7 linked regions of the Macaca mulatta genome follow. The protein of the gene in region 5 interacts with the protein of the main gene of each other region in a pairwise test. Links are inferred from orthologs where the notes say so. Each region holds a gene or a part of one and is shown on either strand. Other genes may lie near its edges.

What was found.
Region 1: the proteins of SF3B4 (region 5) and HNRNPUL1 interact in binary tests that used the Homo sapiens proteins (3 or more experiments, as listed by UniProt). The link is inferred for Macaca mulatta from reciprocal best matches to the Homo sapiens genes SF3B4 and HNRNPUL1.
Region 2: the proteins of SF3B4 (region 5) and RBM10 interact in binary tests that used the Homo sapiens proteins (3 or more experiments, as listed by UniProt). The link is inferred for Macaca mulatta from reciprocal best matches to the Homo sapiens genes SF3B4 and RBM10.
Region 3: the proteins of SF3B4 (region 5) and BAG3 interact in binary tests that used the Homo sapiens proteins (3 or more experiments, as listed by UniProt). The two-hybrid records come from large-scale screens. The link is inferred for Macaca mulatta from reciprocal best matches to the Homo sapiens genes SF3B4 and BAG3.
Region 4: the proteins of SF3B4 (region 5) and PPP1R16B interact in binary tests that used the Homo sapiens proteins (3 or more experiments, as listed by UniProt). The two-hybrid records come from large-scale screens. The link is inferred for Macaca mulatta from reciprocal best matches to the Homo sapiens genes SF3B4 and PPP1R16B.
Region 6: the proteins of SF3B4 (region 5) and METTL17 interact in binary tests that used the Homo sapiens proteins (3 or more experiments, as listed by UniProt). The link is inferred for Macaca mulatta from reciprocal best matches to the Homo sapiens genes SF3B4 and METTL17.
Region 7: the proteins of SF3B4 (region 5) and CWF19L2 interact in binary tests that used the Homo sapiens proteins (3 or more experiments, as listed by UniProt). The two-hybrid records come from large-scale screens. The link is inferred for Macaca mulatta from reciprocal best matches to the Homo sapiens genes SF3B4 and CWF19L2.

The regions. Positions count from the first base shown.
Region 1 is NC_133424.1:52,406,491-52,410,471, reverse strand, and holds the start of HNRNPUL1 (heterogeneous nuclear ribonucleoprotein U-like protein 1), read right to left. Parts: upstream 2,801-3,981; 5' UTR 2,715-2,800; coding exon 2,420-2,714; intron 2,246-2,419; exon of another isoform or gene 2,052-2,245; intron 1-2,051.
Region 2 is NC_133426.1:47,199,478-47,202,977, reverse strand, and holds part of RBM10 (RNA-binding protein 10), read right to left. Parts: intron 2,766-3,500; exon of another isoform or gene 2,725-2,765; coding exon 2,541-2,724; intron 1,016-2,540; coding exon 785-1,015; intron 1-784. UniProt on the Homo sapiens protein: Binds to ssRNA containing the consensus sequence 5'-AGGUAA-3'. May be involved in post-transcriptional processing, most probably in mRNA splicing. Binds to RNA homopolymers, with a preference for poly(G) and poly(U) and little for poly(A).
Region 3 is NC_133414.1:131,748,305-131,752,241, forward strand, and holds the start of BAG3 (BAG family molecular chaperone regulator 3), read left to right. Parts: upstream 1-1,137; 5' UTR 1,138-1,433; coding exon 1,434-1,613; intron 1,614-3,937. UniProt on the Homo sapiens protein: Co-chaperone and adapter protein that connects different classes of molecular chaperones including heat shock proteins 70 (HSP70s), e.g. HSPA1A/HSP70 or HSPA8/HSC70, and small heat shock proteins (sHSPs), e.g. HSPB8.
Region 4 is NC_133415.1:91,774,793-91,778,292, reverse strand, and holds part of PPP1R16B (protein phosphatase 1 regulatory inhibitor subunit 16B), read right to left. Parts: intron 1,456-3,500; coding exon 1,330-1,455; intron 444-1,329; coding exon 368-443; intron 1-367. UniProt on the Homo sapiens protein: Regulator of protein phosphatase 1 (PP1) that acts as a positive regulator of pulmonary endothelial cell (EC) barrier function. Involved in the regulation of the PI3K/AKT signaling pathway, angiogenesis and endothelial cell proliferation.
Region 5 is NC_133406.1:117,227,288-117,231,367, forward strand, and holds the start of SF3B4 (splicing factor 3B subunit 4), read left to right. Parts: upstream 1-1,280; 5' UTR 1,281-1,332; coding exon 1,333-1,366; intron 1,367-1,798; coding exon 1,799-1,927; intron 1,928-2,165; coding exon 2,166-2,708; intron 2,709-3,037; coding exon 3,038-3,244; intron 3,245-4,080. UniProt on the Homo sapiens protein: Component of the 17S U2 SnRNP complex of the spliceosome, a large ribonucleoprotein complex that removes introns from transcribed pre-mRNAs.
Region 6 is NC_133412.1:93,842,905-93,845,110, forward strand, and holds part of METTL17 (ribosome assembly protein METTL17, mitochondrial), read left to right. Parts: intron 1-128; coding exon 129-202; intron 203-845; coding exon 846-940; intron 941-1,425; coding exon 1,426-1,496; intron 1,497-1,676; coding exon 1,677-1,784; intron 1,785-2,042; coding exon 2,043-2,111; intron 2,112-2,206. UniProt on the Homo sapiens protein: Mitochondrial ribosome (mitoribosome) assembly factor. Binds at the interface of the head and body domains of the mitochondrial small ribosomal subunit (mt-SSU), occluding the mRNA channel and preventing compaction of the head domain towards the body.
Region 7 is NC_133419.1:108,239,949-108,243,448, forward strand, and holds part of CWF19L2 (CWF19-like protein 2), read right to left. Parts: intron 3,007-3,500; coding exon 2,890-3,006; intron 320-2,889; coding exon 182-319; intron 1-181.

The sequences.
Region 1 (3,981 bases), on a different chromosome or scaffold from region 5:
CGATTTCATTCATAACACCCCCGGGGGCTAGAGCGAACACACTATTTGTTGATTAACCCCATTTTACACGTAAGGAAACCAGGCTCACAGAGATGAAGTGACTTGCCAATATCTTTAAGCCAGATTTGAAACGAAGTCTGTCTGAGTCTAGAATCTACGCTCCAAAGCACCTAATTCGCTTTCCTCTCAGAGACGACTCTCTGGCCAGACCACCAGGTAACTACTACCCCACTACCCTTTCTTGCTAGGCATTCCTGCCACGGTCCCTCCTGCTCTAGACACACACACACAGGCCCACTCCTTTCTTCACAAGTCTCTGCAATGGGAAGTTCTCTTTCCAGCACCTGGATCCTAGATAATCTCTAGGCCATTGCCTATCCCAAATCCACACTCGAGTTATCTCCCTCCGGGAAACTCTATCTCTTATGAACAAGTATCCAATGCCAATCCCAAATCTTGTCTCCACTGTTACCTCATTTCTGTCCTCATTCCCTTAGCCCCAAGTCCCATGGTGCCCTCTTTTCGGAAAAACTCCACAAATTCTTACGCCAGAATCCCTTCTACTTACTCCTTAACCTTTCCAGTCCCCCCATTTCCCAGTCCTACTAGAAACCTGCCCTGAGGCCTGGTGCAGTGATTCATGCCTGTAATCCCAGCACTTCAGGAGGCTGAGGTGAGCAGATCACTTGAACCCAGGAGTTCAAGACCAGCCTGGGCAACATAGCGAGACCCCATCTGTATTTTTAAAAAAGAGAAAGAAAGCAAGCTCCTTTTCCTTTTTTGAGACAAAGTTTCACTCTTGTTGCCCAGGCTGGAGTGTAATGGCATAATCTCGGCTGACCACAACCTCCCCCTCCCAGGTTCAAGCGATTCTTCTGCCTCAGCCTCCCAAGTAGCTGGGACTACAGGCGCCCACCACCACGCCCGGCTAATTTTTGTATTTTTAGTAGAGACGGGTGATGGGGTTTCACTATGTTGGCCCGGCTGGTCTTGAACTCCTGACCTTGTGATCCGCCCGCCTCGGCCTCCCAAAGTGCTGGGATTACAGGCGTGAGCCACTGCACCCGGCCCGAAAGTTGCTTTTTTCTAACTGAAGATTCACTCCGTCCTATACCAGGGTTTCCTCTCCTCAGACAACCGCAGATCTACCCGAACCCATTCCCAGAGTCACACCTCCTGGCTGATGCAGAGTTCTGTGCTTCCCGCTGAAGGCCCCCACTCCCTGGGTACACAAATAACTGCTTCTGGGAACCGACCATATCTCTGGGAGACGCTCAGGTCCAGAAACATTCCCCACACTCCACTCTGAGGCCTCCAGTGAAGTCAACAGGTTTTCTTTCTCTTTGCTCCCTACAGCCTCCCCCCTCCCCATATTCGCTAAGCCAGATACATACTCCTTCTGTGCTGGACACAGGATCCTCTGTCTCCTGCCACATATTTCATCCACTTGGAATGTTACCAACTCATCTGCCCCCATCCCACCCGCAGCTACCCCGTTCTCCAAAAAGCCCACAGTTAGCTCTAGACCATTCAGCAGCAGCCTCAGAGTTATTTGTCCTCAGTCTTCTTAGCTCTAGACCCCCAGATCCTTTGTTGAGGGAAAAATCCTCTCCCCCTCCAGCCTCTGGACACCAGGGCTCCCTACACCTCTTCTAGAAGCCAACCAGAAAGTCCCCAGATCTCCCAGCACCAAATGTCCAGGCTGTGCCTGCTTCAAGGGTGGCCTTCCAGCCCCGGAAGAGAGATGGGGGTGCCCCCTCGTTCAATCTCCCGCAGCCCCTAAATGCTCACCAGCCAAACTCCAAAGCACTGAGTCCATTAGACCCTCCCCAGCCACAGACACCAGCGCCTCCACCTCACCCACCCACCCCCGAAGCAAATAGGAGAACTCCCAGGATCGCATCCAGCGGCATACTCCAGGATTCTGCTTCCTCAAAACTCTCGCAGCCCCGCACACCTGGACATTCTTTCCCCACCCTGGAAACACGGCTCCCCACCCCGCAGCCCACACGCTGGGCTGGCCAGGCCGCCAAGCCCAAGGAGCTCCGAACCCCAAGATCTCCATTTTCGAGACCCTCCCAACCCAAATGGAAAACCTCTTGTTCTTCCGACTCTCTTCGGCTCCAGAAACCAGTTTCCGGTCTCCGATCCCTACGGTAAGGAATCCTCCCCGCCACCCCCGTCCCTCACCTCCGAAACCCAGAGGCCCCTCCCCCAGTGTGCCCCCTGCACCGAGCGTCTGGATCCACCCTCCGGTCGTGCCGGGGCCCTTGTCCCCAGATCCTTTTCGGCGGCGGGTAGCGGGATCCCCCGATCCTCAGGTCGTCTCCCCGACCTCAGGCGCTGGACTCCCGCGTCCCACAGCCCTTTCCTCGGCCCAGGCTCCGGGCTCCCCGGCCCCCGCCCCGCGCACTCTCACAATGTCCGTCCGGCCCCGAGTAGCCGCCGGGCTCCGCGTGCGGCTGCAGCCCGGGCGGCGGTGGCTGCGCGGTCCCCTCCAGCTCGGAGCCCCCCTCGGTCTCGACCTCCTCGTTGATGTGCCCGGGTCGCCCCGGTTCGTCGTCGGCCTCGAGCTCCCGCTCGTCGTCAGGCTCCTCGGCCTCCAACGCTGCCTGCAGCCGCTCAGCAAGCTCGGCCTTGAGGCCTCGAGTGTCCAGGCCGCGGCGCTGCAGCTCCTCGCGAAGTTCGTTCACCTTCAGACGGCGCACATCCATGGCCCGGGCCCCCGGGGTGGCCCCCGAGCCCGGCCCGGCCTCCCAGGGCTCTGTCCCCCTTAAACCTTTCCTGTCAGGAGGCGAAGGGGGAAAGGGGGGGGGCCCACTCCAATGGCGGCGGCGGCTCAAAATGGCCGCCGCCACCGCCTCCCCCTTCACCCGTGCCTCGTCCGATGTAATACGAGTGCCAATTGGTCAGTGCATGGGGCAACGGGCGCGGGCCCGGAAACCTAGCCAATCAGAGTGCGGTTTTCAAAACAACGGCAACGAGAAGGCCTACGAGCTACCGGGTAGGAAGCGTTGGCCTACGTCGAAGCCGAGGCCGGAGCGGAGGGCGGGAAAAGGCAGGAGGCGGAGCGTGCGCTGATTGGGTAGCTCTCGCGCGCCGGCTGCAGTAAAGCCCAATGAAAATAAGGGAGTAACCCTTTGGACCAATCAGCGGTGAGATCTCAGAATGAGCGTCCGACGGCCTTTCCTGCGCAGTCCTTTCATCAAACTAAGTGTCTCTGTAACACACATTCCGATTGGTGTATATCTCCCGCCCCTTGAGGAGTCCGAGCGGGTAAAACCACTAGAACCAATCAAATGGAGGGTCGTCAGAAACCCCTCCTTCCTGTTGCCTTTAAGAAACCGGAAAGAGATGAATTCACCAGGGGCCCGCCCCTTGCCGTTAGGGCGGTTTCAAAACAATCTGCCCACCAATCGCAGTTATTGTCTTAGCTCACTAAAGCGTAGAGATGGCTCGTTTTAGGAAAAATGCCCCAGATTGGCCGTGCTTCAGAGGACTGCCTCACAAATTTCGCTGTAGGAGGAGGTATACGAAATAGATATTAAGTGGATATACAGTTCGTAATCTGGAAGGAACCCAGTTGCCTTTAGTAAAAGCAAAATTTTGACTTTAGAGAGTCCCGAAGGTTTGACTATAGAGACTAGACTAACAACGGGAGGCTAGTTGTAAAGGACACGGCCTCCCCTTCCCTTGGGTAGTCCGCGGCGGCCTTGCTCTATGGTCGGTGCCTGACGTGGAACGGGCGCTCTGCACGCGACCATAGAGCCTTCCCCTTACGAAAGACATCCAGAAGTTCACCGACCGCCCTCTCCAATCCTCTAATCGGCTGTTCCCGTAAATCGGGCTGTCTGGCGTCTGTATTGACAAGCTCAAACCCACGGATCCGTCATTAACCTTCGCGCTCATGAATACAAAAGCCACAGAGCTTCCCTGTGTCTAATGCTGCACCACCTGTCGCCTCTAACTCAGAAAACAAAA
Region 2 (3,500 bases), on a different chromosome or scaffold from region 5:
GACCCTGGACAGGGCAGGTGGGCCAGACCTTAGAAACCCTCAAATACACAAGTGGGATTTTCTCTGCTACAAAATGAGCAGCTAGCAGATTTCAGAGGAGGGCTAGGGGGTGAGGGAATTTCAGAGAATTCATGGGGGTGGGGGGTGAGGGGCGGTGGAGTGGACTAAGAAGGACCAGGATCAGGGAGACTATTCTTGGAAGTTATTCTGGTAGGCCTCCTGGGGCTTCAGTGTGGCTGTCATGAGAAGTATGTATGAAAAGGAAACGCGAGGAAAGGGAGGCAGGCGGGGAGGCTGTTAACAGCCACCCAAGGCTCTGAGGCCAGGCCAGGCTGCTGACAAAAGAGGATGGGGAAAAAGGAGAAGGAAATTTCAGAAAATCCCACCCCTCCCCCAATGGTTGCAGGGCCCCAGTGTCATCTCTGCTACCAGCAATAGCCAGCACTGGCCCGGTGAGTATCTGGCCCTTGATGCACACATGCAAAATGGCTGGACGACCAGTGGAATGTGCAGGACTGCTCTTCTCCCGCCCAAACCCACCACTGCCGGATACCCACAGCCGCTGCCCCTTGGCCAAGCCGGCCTCTCTGACACTCCTCCCTCCAGACCGGGGGGCCAATGGGACCTGCCCACAGAGGACGGATCAGTGCTGGGGGATAGTAGCTGGAGGGGGAGAAGGGATGAAAGGCACTGAGGTTGCGGGTGAGGGAGGGGTGGGGAAAAGTTGAGGGCCCTGGAGGAGACCCAGCCTGGCCTCCTGCCCGGGGCCATGGGGGGCACGTACGTCATCCTCAGTGGCTGCCTGTGGCAGCATCCTCAGCATGACGATGTTACTGGCCTTCTCCTCCTCCTCCTCATCCTCCTCCTCCTCATCCTCCTCCCCTTGCTCGGTCCGATAGTCCTGGTCCCGATAGTCGCCGTCTCGGGGGAAGCCCGGCGGGCCGGTGGGGCTGTGCCTGTGCCGCCGCCGCCGCCTACGCTGAGTCTCGGAGCCCGGGGAGGCCTCGTAGGAATCCTGGCCGACAGAATGAGATGAGTGACACCAGACGGGCAGTCAGTCTGGGCAGGCCTAGGAGCTGGCCGCTGGCTCTGTGAGGCGGGCAGGCTCTGAAAGCCAGGGATGTGCGGGCTCCGGCTAAAGGCTCAGGCAGGCAGGGTGGGCAGGCCCTGGCCTGCAATCCTTCTGGGGCTGGAAATTCTCCATGGGGTCCTTTTGGGGACTGCCTTCAGGGGGTGGGGAGAGGTAGGTGGCAGTATTGGTGTTGGGGGGGATCTCTCAAAGGTAGCTGACAAAACACAGCTTAAACCTCCTTGAGGCAAGACGGCCTGGGGTCAGCACACCAGACCCCACCCTTGATTTCCCCCTCCTCTCTGGCCAGCTCAGGGGGTGTGCTCAATTGCTCACTGTACCACCGAAGGCTGTGTGTCTCCTATGGTTCCACCCTGCAACTAAGCTAGGGGCATAAGAACAGCTTCAGATCTCAGCCAGAGCCAGCCAGCAAGAGCTGGTAGAGGTGGTGTGAGGGCTGCAGACACTTCCTCCTCAGTCCCTGATCCTCAGCCTTGGCCAGTCCTCCACCACACACCACGCTCAAAATGGTATGGCTGTTGGGCTCTGGGTTGTTGCCCATTCATCTATTCCAGGACTAAGCAGACCAGGCCTCGGGCCAAAGCCCTCCTACCCACAGTGGGGAAGCGCCAGATAACTTGGTGCTCCATTCTTACCCTGGCCAGGGCCCAGTGCTCCTGGAGACGTCTGGGCACAGCTTGACAGCTGCCACTGGAGAAGCCAGGCAGTCCACCAAAGGAGTTTTCGCCCTGGACCCTCCAGAGGGCAGTGGGCAGCTCACAGCCTGCCCCCTAGGGCTGGGCTTGCAAGAACACCCTTCCCAGCCTGCTGGACAGGAGAGCTGCCTGCTCGTGTGGACCAGGGCCCTGACTGCCCCTCCAACTGGGATTCCCCTAAGGCAAGCCTGTTTGTTCCCCTCGGGTAGGGGCTCCTGATGGTGTAAACATCATGCCTCATCCCTTAGGCTAGGGTGAACTACCCAACATGGCACTGGCTTTTCCAGAAGTATCCTTCCCTTCTGTCTAGGGGCTCTGTCACCACTGGGAATGTCCATGGCTGGCCTCCCAGAGCTCCTCAGCTTGGTAGTCTGCATTCCCCTGGTTGTCCTCCCAACCCCAGACGCCGGGTCCCACGGAAGAGGCTCTTCAAGTGCTCAAGTTGGCTGGGAGTGGGCAGTATAGGGTTCACAGTGAGCCATGGGCCCGAACTGAACAACAGGGAGAAGGAAAGAGTGGTGGCCAGGGGCCCTCAGAAGTACAGAGCCAAGCATGTGGAAGCCAGGGAGACCCAGGTTGGGAGAGGAGCCCTCAGAGAGGGGAGTGGGAACAGGCCCTCCAGGTGAGGCAAAGCCACCGAGCACAGTCTGAAGGCATGGGAGTGGAGAGCCGCCTGCACACGGTGCTGCAGCCAGACACAGAGGGCCCTCGGGAGCCCATCCCAGTCAGGCCTGGCGCAGCTCGCCCCTCCTCACCTCCGCACTCTGCTCCTCAGATGAGTCGTCATAGTCGTGCTTGCCCTCCTGGCTGCCGTACTCGCGGGGATATGAACGGTAGTCCATGTCCCGGTAGTCGTGGTCTCGGCTGCGGTTCTCCCCACCATCATCCTGCGAGCGGTCAGTGGCTCCATAGCGCCCAGTCCTGTCACCACGACCACCACTAGTGGAGGAAGAAGGATGGGGAGGGATCAGAAGGTTGCCCTTTCTAAAAGGCGCAAGAGGCCCAGGTGATGTGTTCTCATGGTTATAGGGTTTCGTTGTTTTGGAGGAGCATACAACAGAAGTGAGGTGCCCTTCTGATCCTATCAGATAAGGAAGTACATGCTACCACCATGACTTAGCTCTGGTGATGTTAACCTTGGTCATCTGGTTAAGGCAGTGTCTGCCAGGTTTCTCCCCTGTAAACTTTCATTTTCCCTCCCTCTACTCTATTCTTTGGAAGCCCTCAGGCCTGCCCCTGAACAGGGATTCCTAAATATCTACTCCACATCTCTGAAGTGCAACCCGCCTCTCTCTGGTCCTATGTCACTCTCCGGTCCATGCCGCTGGCTTCTCTCATGAGCACCTTGGTTGTGGCCTGGCTGGTCTCCTCACTTCTACCTGGACCTCCCCAGTTCAGTCTCTACATCCCAAATCCCAAATATGAGTGCTCTCTAAGGCAAAGCCACTCAAACCCATCTCAGTCCCTTCAGTGGTTCCCCCTCAGTCTCAGGATCAAACACCAAAATGCTCACCAAGGTCCCATGCAGTTTGCAGGATCCCCAAGGGTGAGGGCCCTCCTCCCTGTCTTGCACCACGTCCCCTACCCCTGCTTCACTGTCACCTTGCCGACACTAGCAGCTCTTTCATTAAAATTTCTCCTACCGCAATAACTGTAAAATAATTATCTCAAAGCTGATTTCATCTGCATTTTTCTTTTCTCTTTTTTTGAGAATG
Region 3 (3,937 bases), on a different chromosome or scaffold from region 5:
ACTCCGGGACTCAAGAAGTCCTCCAGTTTTGGCCTTCCGAAGTGCTGGGGTTACAGGCATGAGCCATGGTGGCAAGCCCTCATCAGTTATTTTTCTATGATTCTGTCTCGCTGTCCCCTCCTTACAAGGAAAGTAATTTTGAAACAACCAATCCAGTCTTGGTTCTTTGTTTCTGCTTTCTTCAGCCCTTCTCTGTCTATAAAATCAACCTCTTCTGCTCAGCTCATGGGAGCACTTATTCTAATTTAATAGAGGTGTTGCCCAATTCTAGAATCACAAATAAAATTAAGAACTTTAACAACAAAAGTTAAAAAATGAGAATCAGCAACAACAACAACAGAAAAGATCTTTAAATGTGTTGTAATTTTCTCCTTTGACAGGTTACAAGTGCAATTGAATAAACCAAACAAAAAATGTCATGGTTAGGTTCGGTCTTTACTTCCCAAATGAGGGTCAAGATGTAAGACAGCAAGAACCAACTTCTACCATAAAAAAGATCCGAATCCAAGAAAATGTGATTTTTCTTTAAAGCTGTTCACCGCAACGAAAGTTTCTTTTTAGTCTAGGAGACTAAAAGCCATCAGCTGACACAATCTCTTTTTTTCTTGAAGTTTCCAAAGGAAGGCAGGTGAGTTTGCACTAACTTCCATTTTCTCCCTGGCTTCCTTCTGGTGTCAGATGAGCGTCCCCGCGCTCCTCCCGGACAGCCCTCATGGTCCCCGGCTATCATATATGGGGGGGTTGGGGGGTGGGGGTGGGGTGGGGGTGGGCGAGATGGCTTTGTACAGGAAAGAGGGGCGGCAGGCACGGGGAGCACGGGCTCCAGCCCCAGGAACACTCAGTCGGCGCAAAGGAGAGGGAGAGAGCGAGTGCGAAAGCCGAAACCCTCCCGGGGCCACGGAGTAAGCCCCCAGTACCGCTCCTCCGGCGCCCCACCCGCAGGCGGACCCCGAAGACGCGCCCGCGCCCGCCCCCGGCGACTCCGGCCCGGGCACGCGCACGAGACGGCGGGGGGAGGGGCGGGAGAAGGTGGGGGAGGGGCGAGCGGGGAGAGGCCCCGCCCCGACCCCTCAGCCCCGCCCCGGCCCCTCAGCCCCGCCCGCCGCGATTATAGCGGATGACTCAGGGCGGAGCTCCGCGTCCAACCCCGGGCCGCGGCCAACTTCTCTGGACTGGACCAGAAGTTTCTAGCCGGCCAGTTGCTACCTCCCTTTATCGCCTCCTTCCCCTCTGGCACCGAGGAGGCTATTTCCAGACACTTCCACCCCTCTCTGGCCACGTCACCCCCGCCTTTAATTCATAAAGGTGCCCGGCGCCGGCTTCCCGGACACGTCGGCGGCAGAGAGGGGCCCACGGCGGCGGCCCGGCCAGAGACTCGGCGCCCGGAGCCCGCGCCCCACACCCGCGCCCCGGCGGGCAGACCCCGACCCAGTATGAGCGCCGCCACCCACTCGCCCATGATGCAGGTGGCGTCCGGCAACGGTGACCGCGACCCCCTGCCCCCCGGCTGGGAGATCAAGATCGACCCGCAGACCGGCTGGCCCTTTTTCGTGGACCACAACAGCCGTACCACGACGTGGAACGACCCGCGCGTGCCCTCTGAGGGCCCCAAGGTGAGCTGGGCCCGCGGCCCGCCCTGGTCGGCGGCGCCACCTCGACGGCAGGCGGCGGGGAGTGGGTTGGGCCGGGGGGACGCCAGGCGGCGGGGCCCGGTGGTCGGCGAAGGCCCCTTGCGGGCGGACACCGGCTCCGCGCCCCGCCACACACTCCCGGTGCTCCCGGACGAGTCCCCGCTCCGGACCCGCCCTTTACAGGAGTCGGGGCGAGAGGAGGCCCCGCGATCCGGTGGTCCGGGAAGCGACCCCGCAGTGGGTCCGGTGCGGTCCACGGCTCGACTCGGGGCGGAGGGCCGCGTGTCCGACGCTGGCCTCACGCTCCCGGGCTCGGAGGGGGCGGCCGGCCTGGTCAGCTCCGGAGGCTCCGGCCCGCCGCGGCCCCTGCTGCCGGCTCGGCCTCCGGTCCCGGGACCCGCGGCGCACCCCGCTGACCGCGGACTCGAGGGGGACCCTCGCAAGCTTGGATGGTGGTTTTTGGGAGGAATTTTACCGCTCAAGTTCTCCAACTTGGTTGAGGGGTATCTTGTTTGCTGTCCCATCTTAGGCACCCAATGACTCAGGAGGCTGGTGTCAAAACATTCATATATATGTGCGCGCGCGTGTGTGTGTATTTTAAATTAAAATTGTATTATTGTTTGAAAGTGCTTTCAATACGAATGTATCCTAGTATGACTTGTAAAATATAAAAGAGGGTGCACTTCTCCCCAGCAGTTTCTAAACTAGAGATCTGAGACTTACAGTTGGCCATTGCCTTACCACATTGCCTCACACTGGAAAGAGAATGATACGTGTATATTTATAATGGCATTCGCTTCCTGCCTTGTTATGGTATTAAAATACTTAGAATTTGTTACCAGTACACAAATAACAGAGTAATGATACTCTTGGGAATACAGCAGAAGTATGTCTCATTTACATATATGCAACGATATTCCTAATCCCCAAGAGCATGAAATTTGAAAACGTAAATTTGGAATGAGTCTGTTAATTTTCAAAAATCATAGTTATACTATTCGTTCAATTTTATATAAATTTGAGCTTTCAAAATAAAAAGTTTTTTTAAAAAAATATGTTATACTTAAAGCGTAATTGTTACTGCCGTCTGGGCAAGATAAAAGCAGCAAAGAGCTGGTAAATTATTTTGAAGATTTTAAAACTCACCAAATTAAAAATACTTTGTAACCCATTATTTTAGAAGAAAGACCTGTATTATTTCCCTTCATTTTAATGCACTTTTTGTTTTAACAATATTGATAAAACTCCGGTGCCCAACAGTGAGACACTGTACAGGCAGCAGTTTACATTTACGAGAGATTACTTGTGTATTTATTCTTGAAAATTAATACAAGAGGCTGTAATTAGCTGGGGTGGGCACAGTTGCATATACCTTTTTGTGTGTGTGTTCAGCCCATTTTTGGGTGAAACTGACACTCATTTCAAACCACCTTTCTTAGGCGTCTGCGTGGATGTACCTGATCTTTAGTGTGGTTTGCAACTATTATTTTGAGGCCTTCTTCCTGTGGACATAGGGACAGTGGTATCTGCTGGCAGCCTTTGTTGTGAGTGAAGATCAAGTTTGAACATAGACATTCCCAGCACTTTGTTCTCAGCATGAAACTTACCCAGCAAGTTGAGATATTCCTGTACCCACCTGGTGCATGGGTTAGGCTGTGGTTTCATAAACCTTATTAAAAGAAAAAAAGCAGGTTTAGCTGCCATTATTCTTCTCAATAAATAAAAAGTAAGAACTATTACATCAGAAGTCTGATGCTGGAAAGGTTTCTTTGAAAATTTCATAGTCAAAATTTTTAAGTTGAAAGGTCCTTGAAGATCTCTTAGTTAGAAGATCTCTTATTTTCTGAAAAACCCAGAGAATTCAGGTGTGACTTTGAAGGTCATCCAGCTAGTACCAATTACAGGGAGAGAACTAATGTCAGGAAAGTTCTAGTAAGAGGTGGTGTGTCTGTTAGAAGTTGGAAGTGAATGTTTTGTGAAACTGAAGCATGCAGGCTAGAATACCTGATTATCTTTGTGCCCTCCTGGCCACCAAGTTATTGGGTCACTGACCTCTGTGCTGTGGTTGCTTGGATTTTGATGATGGGACATCATCAACTCAAGAAAAGAGTTCTCTTTACGAAGTGAATGACTTGAGACTTGTCAGCATGGCACCAAAACTTAAGGAGAAAACTAACATTCAGCCCATTAGCTGTTTGTGCTTCATTGCTTTCAACCCTGTTCTTAGACACACACAATATCTGGTTGCACTTGTGTGAATTACACCTTGCTGGAGACTAAATGTAGTGGAGAATCCTAGAATATCA
Region 4 (3,500 bases), on a different chromosome or scaffold from region 5:
CTTAACCCCTTCATCCAGCTATCTACCCACTGCTGAAAGAGCCATCTATTCAGATTCATCCTTTACCCACTCATCCACTTATTCTTCTATCTATTCATCCATCCATCCACCCACCCACCCATCCAGTCAACCATACCTCATAATATCTACCCATGTACCCCTCTCATCCATCCATTCATCCATTTATCCATCTATCCCTTCATCTGTCCATCTGTCCATTCATCTACCATCCATTAATTAATCCATCTGTCTATCTATACACCAATCCATCAGTCTATACAACCATATATTTATCTATTTCTCCCTCTACCCATCAAAAAATTGATAACTGTCTATTTGTGCACACCAGCTGTTGTGCTGGACTCACCTATTGGCATCTCATCCATGGATGTCCTTGCACTGAGACTAGCTCCATGGGACACCAATAGCTCTGCCATCTGCATCTGAAACACAGGAAGAAGCTCAGTGTCCCCCTGCCCAGAGCTCAGAAAGCCTAGGAGGTGGAGAGAGTGTCCAAGACCTCTTAGGATGTGACCCAAAGAATGGTGGGACAAAGTTGATTTCCAGGGAAGGCCTGCATGCTAGAGCCATGGGGGGAATCCAGACAGATGCAATGCCTGGGCCACACCAAGAAGAGGGAGAAGAAAGAGTTGGCTGTAACTCTAGAGCTGGCAGGTATCTAAGGAGGGACTAGGTATAAGTGACAATCAGAGTTTTGTGTCTGGAAACAAATGGAGAAACTACTGGGGGCAAAAATGCTGGAAATTTTCTTATTTGGCAAATCTGATTACCATCCTATTAGAACACAACTTGTCAGCCGGGCACGGTGGCTCACGCCTGTAATCCCAGCACTTTGGGAGGTTGAGGCGGGCAGATCACCTGAGGTCAGGAGTTTGAGACCAGCCTGACCAACATGGTGAAACCCCGTCTCTACTAAAAATACAAAAAAATTAGCTGGGCATGGTGGCACACGCCTGTAATCCCAGTTACTCAGGAGGCTGAGGCAGGAGAATTGCTTGAACCCAGGAAACGGAGGTTGCAGTGAACTGAGATTGCGCCACTGCACTCCACCAGCCTGGGCAACAGAGCAAGACTCTTGCTCAAAAAATTTAAAAAAAGAATAATAATAATAATTTAAAAAAAGAACACAATTTGTCCAATGTTTTTGCAAACTCCCTAGGCCTTTTCATATCCCACATATGAGCTATAGTCAACACCTTAAGCCTTAAAGTCTTATGTTCTTTGAAACCAATTGCCAGCCCAAAAAACTTGATGTTAGCAGGTTAGCCCTGTGCCGGCTTCCCCCACAGCCCTGTGGGTGAGAACTACCTGTCCCCAGAAGGCAGCTGCGTGCAGGGGCTCCCAGCCATCCCAGTCCTTCACATCCACACGTACTCCATGATCCAGGAGGAGCTCAGCTGCCCTCAGGTATCCATTGGCTCCAGCTATGTGCAGCTGGAGAAGAGGAAAGAAGTAAGCATTCCCTAGGGGATCAGTCCCACATTGAAGGTAGGCTAGCCCTTACCCCCACCCAAGCCCCACAGCATCCTTGGGGCCAATAGAATGGAATAGAATGAGATGGAAATACCAGTCACATTGCAGAGGATTATTAAGTCTGAAATATGGACCTAGAAAGAAAGGTAGAGAGCTGAATTCTTCTCCCATGTGGTTGGTCTTGGCATCCATGTGGTTAAAGCAACAGCATTTACTGAGCCCCTACTGTGCACTGAGCCCTGAAGAAGGGGTCTCTGAGGTTCAATATGGTGATTTTTAAACATGTCTACAAATTCTTTGATACAGCTTCCTTTAGAAGATGGAGCCCGACTGTTCTCACCTTGAATGTGGGCCAGATTGAGTGACTCACTTCTAACAAATAGGATATTGTGAAGTGAGTGACGATGTGTGATTTCTGAGGCTAGGGCATAAAAGGCATTGCTGCTTCTACTTTACATTGTCTTGGATCAATTACTCTAGAAGGAGGCAGCCACTATGTTGTGAGGACGCTCTAGAAGCCTCAAGGAGAGGTCCTAAGCCTCAAGGAGAGGTGAGAAACTGAGGCCTCCTGCCAACAGCCAGCACTAACTTGCCAGCCATGTGAGTGAGCCACCTTGGAAGTGGATCCTGCAGCACCAGTCAAGCCTTCAGATGAGACTGCAGCCCCAGTAGTCTCAACAATATTGCAACATCTTGATTGCAATATCATGACAGCCACCAAGCCAGAGCCATCCAGTTAAGCTGTTCCTAACTCTCTGACTCAAAGAAACCATATGAGACAATAAATATTTATTATTGTTTTAAGATGCTACATTGTGGGGTAGTTTGTCATGGAGCAATAGATAATACATCCAATAAGGGACTGTGATCCCATTCAAGGCCTTCAGTCACTGCCTGGCAGACCTCAGTTGTCATGCTTGTTCAATCTGCCCCCAAAATACATAAAGTGCTTAGCCCATAATGAACACTCAGTAAGGGATTCAAATTCTTAGAAAGCCCTAAGTGATGACCATGAGAATGAATGAGGGAGAAGGAAATAAGGCAGAAAGACATCAACTGTCCAGCCAAGATGAGAGAGAGAAGTGAGAATCCAAGGTGGTCAGCAGAAGACTGGCTGGGAGGAAGCCAGAGAGCCTCAGCGGACCTGAGGTCTGGGGCCGGAGAGTCAGAGGGACAAAGAAGGCATGGCCTCAGGAAGTGATCCTTCCAAATACAGCCCTGATGGTCAGATGCTCCCTCATCCTGGGACAAAGTTGCTTAAAGCTCTGGTCAGTGGATGGTTTTTGTTTCTTTGTTTTTTGTTTTGTTTTGTTTTCCAACTTGAAAAACCAAGGGTATAATGTGAAAATTAATTATCTGATTTATAAATGTTTGATTCTTGCCAGTTGTAGAGAATGATACCTGCTGGCCAGTACGACATTGCAAACCTCAATACTTGGCTGGAAATTAAAAGGTATGAGTGGAATAGTGGCATTATTAGTAAAAATAATGGTCATTGCTAACATACATTGAGAATTTACAGACTGTGCTAAGCACTTTCACACAGAATCTCATTTAATGCTCCTAACAACACTGTGAGGAAGATGAGGAAGACACTATGATCTCCACTTTACTGGGAAGACCTGAGACCTAGTATGTGCCTGGTCCATGGGGGTGGGGCCACCCTGAGGCCAGCCCCAGCCCAGGAAGAGAAGATCCCTCTGTCTTGAAGACCCAGTCACAGCCCCAGTAGAGCTGCAATAAGAGTGGGTATGCCCTAGTGCAGCCTGACCTTGACTTCAGACAGAAACAGTCAGTCCTCCTACCTGATCCCATTCTTGAGTGCTAGGCTGAGCAGGTAATTCAAGCAGGCACCCAAGTAATAGAAATGGGCACAAAACAGATGTGAGAGCTCAGGAAGCAGGTGGAAGAAGCCCACTTATCACACCTAGGCTGCCAGGTCAGGCCTGAGGGGCGGTGAGGATACCTGGTACTGCTGAGCCCTACCTAGTGAGCTTGAGATCCCG
Region 5 (4,080 bases):
ACTTGCAGCCTCAGCTTTCACACTCCAGCCCTTAAGTTCACTAAGAAGGTCTGAGTTTCTGCTGCAGATGGTGGTGTTAACTGCTCCAACTCTTGTCCTGTCTTGCTTAGTTCCTACGGATATTTTTGTTTCTTGTCATTTGAAGGATTAAGAAACAAAAACAATCCAGAAATTGATCGGTTTTTTTAGACCAGTTCCATCCCTTCTGGATAACCAGATGTTAAATCGTGAGATCAGAGATGCTGTTCATCAGTCCCAACAAGATGGCCTACAGATCGCATTCTCACCTCGCCTTGCTGCTGCTTTAATTCCAACTTCTATTTCTTCCCTTATAGTTTTCTATGGGAATGAGGCGGATACAGGAAACACCCTGTCTCCTCTGTATTTTTGTAGCGGAATTTTCTATTTAAGGGGCTCATTAAAGCATAGTATTTATACACATTACTGGCATTGTTTCTTGTGTTTGAATAAAGGATTCTCCTAGGTAGGAAAGTGGTGGGTAAAAGGTGGGTATGATCCAAGAGAGGAAGGCATCTACTGTATTATTGCTAAGGAAATAGGGGAACTGGATTTGGTGAGACTCTGCAGAATTCAAGTGCAGTTTGGGGAAAGGATTCTGTGTGTGTCTCCCATTTAGAGGCAGATGGGGCCAGATTGTTCTAGAGATCCAGACTGAAGTCTCTGAGCTCCGATCCTATCCACCCCTCACCTGTGGTCACACACCACCTTGGAGCAGCCCTCACCCTCCCCATGCAATTACGACGAGATGAGCGCAGACGTCACTCCAGCTCAGACATTTCGCAGTCTCCTCCCCGAGGGAAAACCAAATACCTCCAGCCCAAATCAGGGCTGTTGAGGCCAAATCTGCAAGAAGGTTGCAGGCGAGATGGAGGGTTCCCTCTGCGCCTGAAAGCAGCCAAGTCCTCGGGTTGGGGGGACTCTTCAGCACATCCTTCTCTGGACAACAAAACATCATCACTGGCTACAAAATACATGAAAACTGAAGTTTTTGTTCTTTTAGCTTTCGAATTTACATTTTTGGGAGCAGTGTGATTCTTTCAAGTCTAGCAGTGCATTAAGACGGTCTGAGCGTTTCCGTTCCGCCCTCCTCGCTAAGACCACTAGCAGCAGCACCTCTGCGCGGGTGCCGAGGACTCCACCGCCCAACCCGAGTTAAGTCTTGGAGGCTCCTAAAATGGCTGCAGCCGCTTCCAGGCCCCTCCTCTTCCGCGGCTCCGCCCAGCGCTACGTCCTCCTTCGCCCCGGAAGTGGAAGTCGTGCTGAGGTCAGAAGGCGGAACCGCTGCTGGGAGACGGCGGGAGCTCTTTCGCCATGGCTGCCGGGCCGATCTCCGAGCGGAACCAGGGTAACTGGAGGGGGAAAGTCTGGAATGGGCTCAGCGTGGCTAGGAGGCCCCTACTACAGCCAGAAGTGCCTCTGCAGGGGTGGGAGACTGGACTCATCCATTCCCCAGAGGGCGCGAGACCGGCCCCGTGCCTCCTGGGGGCGGGGTGGCCAGGTGCTGGCTGAGGCCTGTGGGTGTGATACTTACGTCCAATCCCCTGCTGAGTTCTCACTCAAAAAAACAAAAAAATCCACTCAGAATACTAAATTAGACTTCAGAGGATTCCTGAAGTCCTGGAGAGAGAAGTTTAAGGGTTTAACTTTTTTTTTTTGCTCCTGTCCCCTACCCGCGTCCCCAGTTCCCCCGGTTGGGTTCCATCTTCATGTTTCCATCACCTCCTTCTTTCATGTTATACTCTCACCCTTGCTCTAACTTTCTGCTCCCTCCCTTCAGATGCCACTGTGTACGTGGGGGGCCTGGATGAGAAGGTTAGTGAACCACTGCTGTGGGAACTGTTTCTCCAGGCTGGACCAGTAGTCAACACCCACATGCCAAAGGATAGAGTCACTGGCCAGCACCAAGGTGAGTACATGACAAGGGGCAATTTGCTTCCGGAGGGTCCCGGCAGTATTCACAACTGTTTTGGAATAACATGAGCAACCTAAAGTATTTCTTTCTTTTAAGCCTCTGTTCAGTTTATTTCTGGAACCATTCTTAAGTGAGATTGTTTCTTTCTTGTTCTTTGTGATTAGAGGGTAGATGAGTTTTACCCCATTTTCAATCTCTTATGTTGTTAACCTCCTCTTCTCCACTTCTCCAGGCTATGGCTTTGTGGAATTCTTGAGTGAGGAAGATGCTGACTATGCCATTAAGATCATGAACATGATCAAACTCTATGGGAAGCCAATACGGGTGAACAAAGCATCAGCCCACAACAAAAACCTGGATGTAGGGGCCAACATTTTCATTGGGAACCTGGACCCTGAGATTGATGAGAAGTTGCTTTATGATACTTTCAGCGCTTTTGGGGTCATCTTACAAACCCCCAAGATTATGCGGGACCCTGACACAGGCAACTCCAAAGGTTATGCCTTTATTAATTTTGCTTCATTTGATGCTTCGGATGCAGCAATTGAAGCCATGAATGGGCAGTACCTCTGTAACCGCCCTATCACCGTATCTTATGCCTTCAAGAAGGACTCCAAGGGTGAGCGCCATGGCTCAGCAGCCGAACGACTTCTGGCAGCTCAGAACCCGCTCTCCCAGGCTGACCGCCCTCATCAGCTGTTTGCAGATGCACCTCCTCCACCCTCTGCCCCCAATCCTGTGGTATCATCATTGGGGTCTGGGCTTCCTCCACCAGGTAAAGCTTTTGGTTAAAATTTGTTTGTCTTAAGGTTGGGGGAGAGAGTCAGGAGGAAGAAAAAAAGAGCCTGAAAGGGGGATGGGACATGGAGTCAGTGAGTGATGGGAAGAGGACTGAGGGGTGATGGTAGTGGTGGAGAAGAAAGTTGTTGGGTTTCTTTAGGAGGGTGAAGTTGGTTGACTTTTCTAACATTGCTTTTGATTTTAGAGCACTGGGAGGAGGGGGAAAGAGCTCACCCTGCCCAGAGAGGCCAGATCAGGACAGGCTCTTTAAAGACATTTTCTCCTCACTACCATTAACTTTTCCTTTTTCCATTTCCTCTATAGGCATGCCTCCTCCTGGCTCCTTCCCACCCCCAGTGCCACCTCCTGGAGCCCTCCCACCTGGGATACCCCCAGCCATGCCCCCACCACCTATGCCTCCTGGAGCTGCAGGACATGGCCCCCCATCGGCAGGAACCCCAGGGGCAGGACATCCTGGTCATGGACACTCACATCCTCACCCATTCCCACCAGGTGGGATGCCCCATCCAGGTAGGTGTGCTTTGTTGGGAGGGAAGAGCTTGGTAGAGCATCTCTGTTACCTCTCACCCTGCTGCCCTTTGTTCCTCAACAGTAACAGTTTCAGAGTTTCCTTTCCTTCAGACATTCTATTATAAAAACATACAAAATACTCTCTAACATCCACCTCCCTGTATCCATTTCTTAAGTTTTTCTGACAAGAAGACTATACTTGCTGGTTTTTATTTCTTTAACCTTTAGTTCCATTCTCTTCTCTGACTCCAGCTCAAAGTGGTGACCTAATTGCCAAATCTCAGGGACACTTCTCCTCCTTATCTAGTTTGACCTCTGATGTACTTGAAACTAGTCGTGTCCTCCTGTTTGAAATTCTCGTCTCTTTTTGCTTTTGCTTTTCTAGATCCTCCACCCCTCTGACTCCTTAATCTCAGCTACCATGATAGACTCTTGTCTACTTGTGCCTAGATTTTTGTGCTTGTTTCTCTTTTCTGCATATATCTATAGTTTTAATTGAGCATATACTGATGCCTCCTAGATCTGTATCTCTAGTCCATAGCTGTTGACATTCCGGATCCTTAATGCTTTAATGCTGCTGCTTAATAGATAGCGTCATTTTTCTGTCCCTCTCCTTCAAACCCATTCTTTCTCTAGCAGTCTTTTTTTTCAGGTGCTTAATTCATGAATCTGAGAGTGATGTTTGACTGCTCCCTATCACCCCACTCTTAATACCAAGTCTTATTTAATATCAGTGGCATCTCTCCCCATGGCCAGTGCCCTAGTTCAGTCTCTCATTCCCTCATTATTTAACACTTAATTTATTGTAGTAATCTCCTTCCACTTGGACTCCAGTT
Region 6 (2,206 bases), on a different chromosome or scaffold from region 5:
GTATTTATATTGAATCTCAAAAGGCATTCACATCTCACATCCTCTGTGATAGGCTCCTAATTCATATTTATCAAGGTCCTAAATAAGTATCTAATTACTCTGCTGTGGGATGTTGTATATTTCTTCAGATCCGGGCTCGAAATCCAGCATTTCAGCCACAAACTTTGATGGACTTTGGCTCGGGTACTGGTTCTGTCACCTGGTGAGTAACTTTTTTCAGCCCTGTCTTGGTCAATTTTAGCTCTAGAAAGCCATACTTACACCACTCAAAAATTAAGAGACTGGAAAACCAGAGGGAGAATAGGCAAGTTGGGAATCTATAATGTTTCTTCCATCAGATTGGGCAAGGCAGAAGAAGGTATATGGATTGGGGCCAGAACTTAAAGAAATGTCAAGTGAAAAAAAGGCGCATGTGTAGAAAAATTAAAAAGAAAAGGAATTATCAATCAAAGTTTTTTTGCCTACAAATAGTATTTTGAGTCTACCTTTATTTTTCTCTTTTTGGAGATGGTGTCTCGCTCTGTCACCCAGGCTGGAGTGCAGTGACACGATCTCGGCTCACTGCAGCCTCCACTCCCGGGTTCAAGTGATTCTCCTGCCTCCGCCTCCCAAAGTGCTGGGATTACAAGCATGAGCCCCTGCACCCAGCTGAGTCTACCTTTTTTTAAAAACAATTGTAAATAAAACAAGAAAATAACACTATTAGTTATTTTATTACTAACTAGACAACTATTTTAACATAACACTCTCTTTTCCCAGGGGTGGGGTTGGGTGTAAATGGGTCTCTTGTAGAGATGACTCTTGGTCATGGGAATTGGTGATTTATAATAATTTTGCCATCTTAGGGCTGCTAACAGTATTTGGGGCCAGAGCCTACGTGAATATATGTGTGTGGACAAATCAACTGCCATGCTGGCTTTGGCAGAAAAACTACTGAAAGGTGAGTACAAGAGCATTTCCAAAGTTGAGGGAGTTCAGAAAGCAAAGGGGTACTAGTAAAAGTGTTTTACTGGGAAGTAGAGAAGAGGGTAAAAATTAAGATGAATCTGGTTTACTTTTAAAGTTATGGTCAAGCAAAGGGTGGTATTAGAGGTTTCTGCTGGACTGAGGATGGGTTGGGTAAGATTCAAAGGACAAGAGGCCTAATATTCTCCCTGCCGTTTTTTTGTTTTGTTTTGTTTTTTGTTTGTTTTTAATTAGAACCTGTTACCCAGGCTGGTCTCAAACTCCTGGCCTCAAGCCATCCTCCCACTTCATCCTCTGGGGTAGCTGGGATTACAGGCATGCACCACCATATCTGGCTCATCCCTGCCCTTTTTGATAGACACTTTCCCTATCCTTGGGGCCATGTTTCTTATCTGGATATCTCTTCAGTTTATACCTAACTTCCTACACACTCAAAGTTGCCTCTTCTTTTCTCCACAGGTGGTTCAGAATCTGGGGAGCCTTATATTCCAGGTGTCTTTTTCAGACAGTTTCTACCTGTATCACCCAAGGCAAGTGGCAGTGTTTAGAATATTCTAAATGTGGAATGTGGCAGATGGAAAACTATGGCTTGAGCTTTGCAGCCCAGCACTGAGTGTCAGAAGATAAAAGAAATTTATCAGCTAGGACTTTATTATATTCTTGGGATGCAGAGATGTTGAGTGTGTCATGTTCTTTGTCTTGGTCCTCAGGTGCAGTTTGATGTAGTAGTATCAGCCTTTTCCTTAAGTGAACTGCCCAGCAGGGCTGACCGCACTGAGGTGGTTCAAACCTTATGGCGTAAGACAGGTCATTTCCTGGTGAGTTAAAATTCCTTGTTCTCCTTAAGTCTTAAAGCAGCTTCATGGATTTCATGCCTTTGCTTCTCTCGTTGTCTTCATTCTTCACCATTTTTCTCCTTTATGGGTTTCTTTATCCCTCTTTGAGGGTCTCCATCCTGATATATAATGCGTATTTCTTTTTAGGACCCCTTTTCCATCTATAATGCTTTTACAGAGCTACTGACATTTACACTTTCATGTAATTTAAGTCTTCATATTTTTCCCTTTTGTGAATAGGTACTGGTGGAGAATGGAACAAAAGCTGGGCACAGACTTCTCATGGAAGCCAGGGATCTGGTCCTTAAGGTAAGGCTTCTTCCCTCACTCCCCCACGCATATGTCACTAATTACTGTTATTCTTTTGAAAACTAAAGAGACTGTCATATATTGACAAGGGTGAC
Region 7 (3,500 bases), on a different chromosome or scaffold from region 5:
AATGTCTATTTCTCAACCAGATCAATTCCAAAATGCATGTTTCTAATAAGTCTTACAAAGGATTTAATTTAATAAAATGAACCAAGATTAGAGAGAATCGGATCTCTCCAAAAAGCAGATCCCTGTTACATTGAATAACCAGCTTCTCAAAATTCAGAGGTATCCTAGGAATATATCTTACCTTAGATGCCATTCTCATAAAGAGCTTGTTTTGATTTTCTGCTGTTCCCATCTTTTCATTTTTGACCAAATCAGTTAGGCTTAGATTATCATCATCATGAAAGTATCTGACCCTTTCTTTTTCCTCATGGGTTGAAATCTATGACAAAATGAACATTATTAATTTAATGAAAACATGAGTCTCTGAAGCATTTAATGGATTACATAAAAATCTGATGTTAAATGTAAAAATTCCACTATGTAATCACAACCTTTCCTTCCAGTTTATCCCTAGTCTGCCAGCTTCCTTGTGAAAAAACTTCCATTAGAATTACACTCCCTACTTCTGCCTCTTTACTCTCCTCTTCCCTGGGGATGGAAGCATGATATTAACTGCTTTATGAGTTTTGATGAAAGAGCAAAACTGCTTTACCCCTTCTTCTCTCTTTTCTGCTCTTCTTCTCCTTATAGTTAAAATTCCTTACCACTGTGGTGGGAAGACTGAAGTTATCCAGAGATGGAGTAAGTATATCAAAAACAGAGGTGAAGTATTAGCAAATCCACTGCTATGAATTTAATGATTATGTTGCCCCAAAATTTACATGTTGAAATCTCAATAAGAAGGTATTAAGACGCAAGGTCTTTGGGAAGTAACTGGGCTATGAGCATGAAGTACTCAGAAATGGGATCAGAACCTGTGATGGTTAATACTGAGTGTCAACTTGATTGGACTGAAGGATGCAAAGTATTGTTCCTGGGTGTGTCTGTGAGGGTATTGCCAAAGGAGATTAACATTTGAGTTAGTGGACTGGCAGTTAGTGGAGAGGCAGACCCACCCTCAGCGTGGGTGACCATCTAATCAGCTGCCAGGGTGGCCAGAAGACGCTGAAAGAACTTGACTCGCTGAGTCTTCCGGCCTTCATCTTTCTCTCATGCTGGATGCTTCCTGCCCTCAAACATCAGACTCAAAGTTCTTCAGTTTTTGGACTCTTGGACTTACACCAATGGTTTGCCAGGGATTCTTGGGCCTTTGGCCACAGACTGAAGGCTGCACTGTTGGCTTCCCTACTTTTGAGGTTTTGGGACTTGGACTATCTTCTTTGCTCCTCAGCTTGCAGATGGCCTATGTAGGACTTTACCTTGTGATTACGTGAGTCAACACTCCTTAATAAACTCCCCTTCATATATGCATCTATCCTCTTAGTTCTGTCCCTCTAGGGAACCCTGACTAATACAGTACCTCTATTAAAAGACATGAGCGTTTGTTCTCTCTCTCTCTCTTTTCTGTCATTTGATTATACAAGAAGACTATCGTCTACAAACCCAGAAGCATGCCCTAATCAGACAATGAAGCTGCCAGCACCCTAATCTTGGACTTCTCAGTCTCCAGAACTGTGAGAAACAAATTTCTGTTGTTTAAGCCATCCAGTCTATGTTATAGTAGCCCGAACTAAGACACCAACTTCTAATTATTAAACCCTTGTTCTGTAAACAGCTTTATCAAAAGCAAAGCTGATATTCTGGTCTCCATCTAATTCAGTCCCAGATGTTCCTATCAGTTGGTTCCATACCCTGGTGTAGAACAGAAAAATACTATTTATTTCCTCCCAAATCAAATCTTTCTAATGCTGCTCTCACATTCCCTTATCCAAATAAAACCTCATCTTTAACTTCTTTGAGATCTTTGGAACAGGGGTGCAACTATATTTCCCAACATTACTATTCTTGTCTTTACTAGCTTAAACCTCATATCCCTTGACTTCAATCACCCCCTGGCTCCAGACACTTAATTTCTGGCCCTCTTGTCTTTTCATCATACTCAAAGAACAAACTTTACTTGTGAAAGTGTCTACCTTCTTTACTCCTATACCTAAATTGTTAAGTAATATGCAACTCAAAAAGGGCCCTCGATGCCTTCTGACAATGCATTTATGGATCCCTAGTCAGTTCCACCATTTCATATAATTCAAACCTTTACTATTCTCCTCCTGTACCACCTCTCCAACCACCAAATTCCTCCCATTACATTAGAAGACATATCTATCCCACTTCTATCTGTTGAATGAATTAATTAAGACTCTCTAGCAACACAGGCACTGAACAGGCAAAAAATAAACATTTGACAGAAATATTCTGAATGAACAGTTCTTTTGTATATGCAATTATCACTTGTCTGATCTTCCAAATTTAAAATAAAAAACCTAATTTGGGAAAGCTGAATATGTTGTTTTTGCCATCTCAAGAGCCTCAAGGTAGTGCTAAAAACTAATTACTAGAGTTGGAAAATGGAAAAGAAAATTAGCTTTATAAAGGATTATGACACCTACATAATTAAGCCATTATTGTGTATGGATACCCCATCACCAGGTCTCAAGTTAGCTGTCTAATACTAGTAACAGCTCTGGGAGACCAAAGTTTTCCCTAAGAGCTATAGCAAGTATGCCAAAAGCAGCTGAAAACAACATCAAAGAAATGTAAACTAAAATTAAAATTGCCTTAAACATTCAATGTTAACAACTATTTGAAAAAACACAGTCGGATTACTTTCCATTCTGTAAAAGGCAAAAAGATATAACTAAGAATAAAAGTAAGAACAACATCATTTACTACCTTCCAATATTGGCATTCAAAAGTTACTTTTCAGAAAATATTTTGTAATCTGATATGAAGAAAGCCCCAAGGGAAAGAAGGAATTCTGAATTAATAAACAAAGACATATGTTAAACATACCATCTGTCTCTTTCTTCTTCCTCCTTGTGATTCCAGAGATTTTCCGGGTGTGTTCACAGGCCATACTCTTCCAGACTGATCTGTTCTGACAAGGATTACTTCTTGCTGGTCTTCATTCTATAAAAAGATTTAGAGATAACTATTGAAATTATTGTGAAGAATGCTGAACGTTTTTATTTAATAACAAAAAAAAGCATTAAAATGATTAACATTTCCACATAATACTGTGGATTGCCTTAAATCTCCTGGATTTTCATTCCTCTCTATACTATAAAATGAACATAATCATTTGGGGAAAGAATGAAAAATACCCAATGTTTATTTTAGTATTTTTTAAAAAGTAACCAAGAGAAGAAAATTTCAAATAAAGTTTTCATCTAGACAATGTTAAAAGATGACGAAGTATCAATAGTCCATGCGGCATTGTATGAGAATGCCCATCAGTTATACAGCAGATGTAATGTTTTTTAAATTTAAAGATCCTATTAAAATTTGATTATAAGAATAAAGCAACTAAAGACAAACTTGCTAAATTAGCAAATATAATGAAACTACCCGTAACTTCTATTCTTTCTATTAACAGCCTTCAAATGCTATTCAGTTTTCTGACT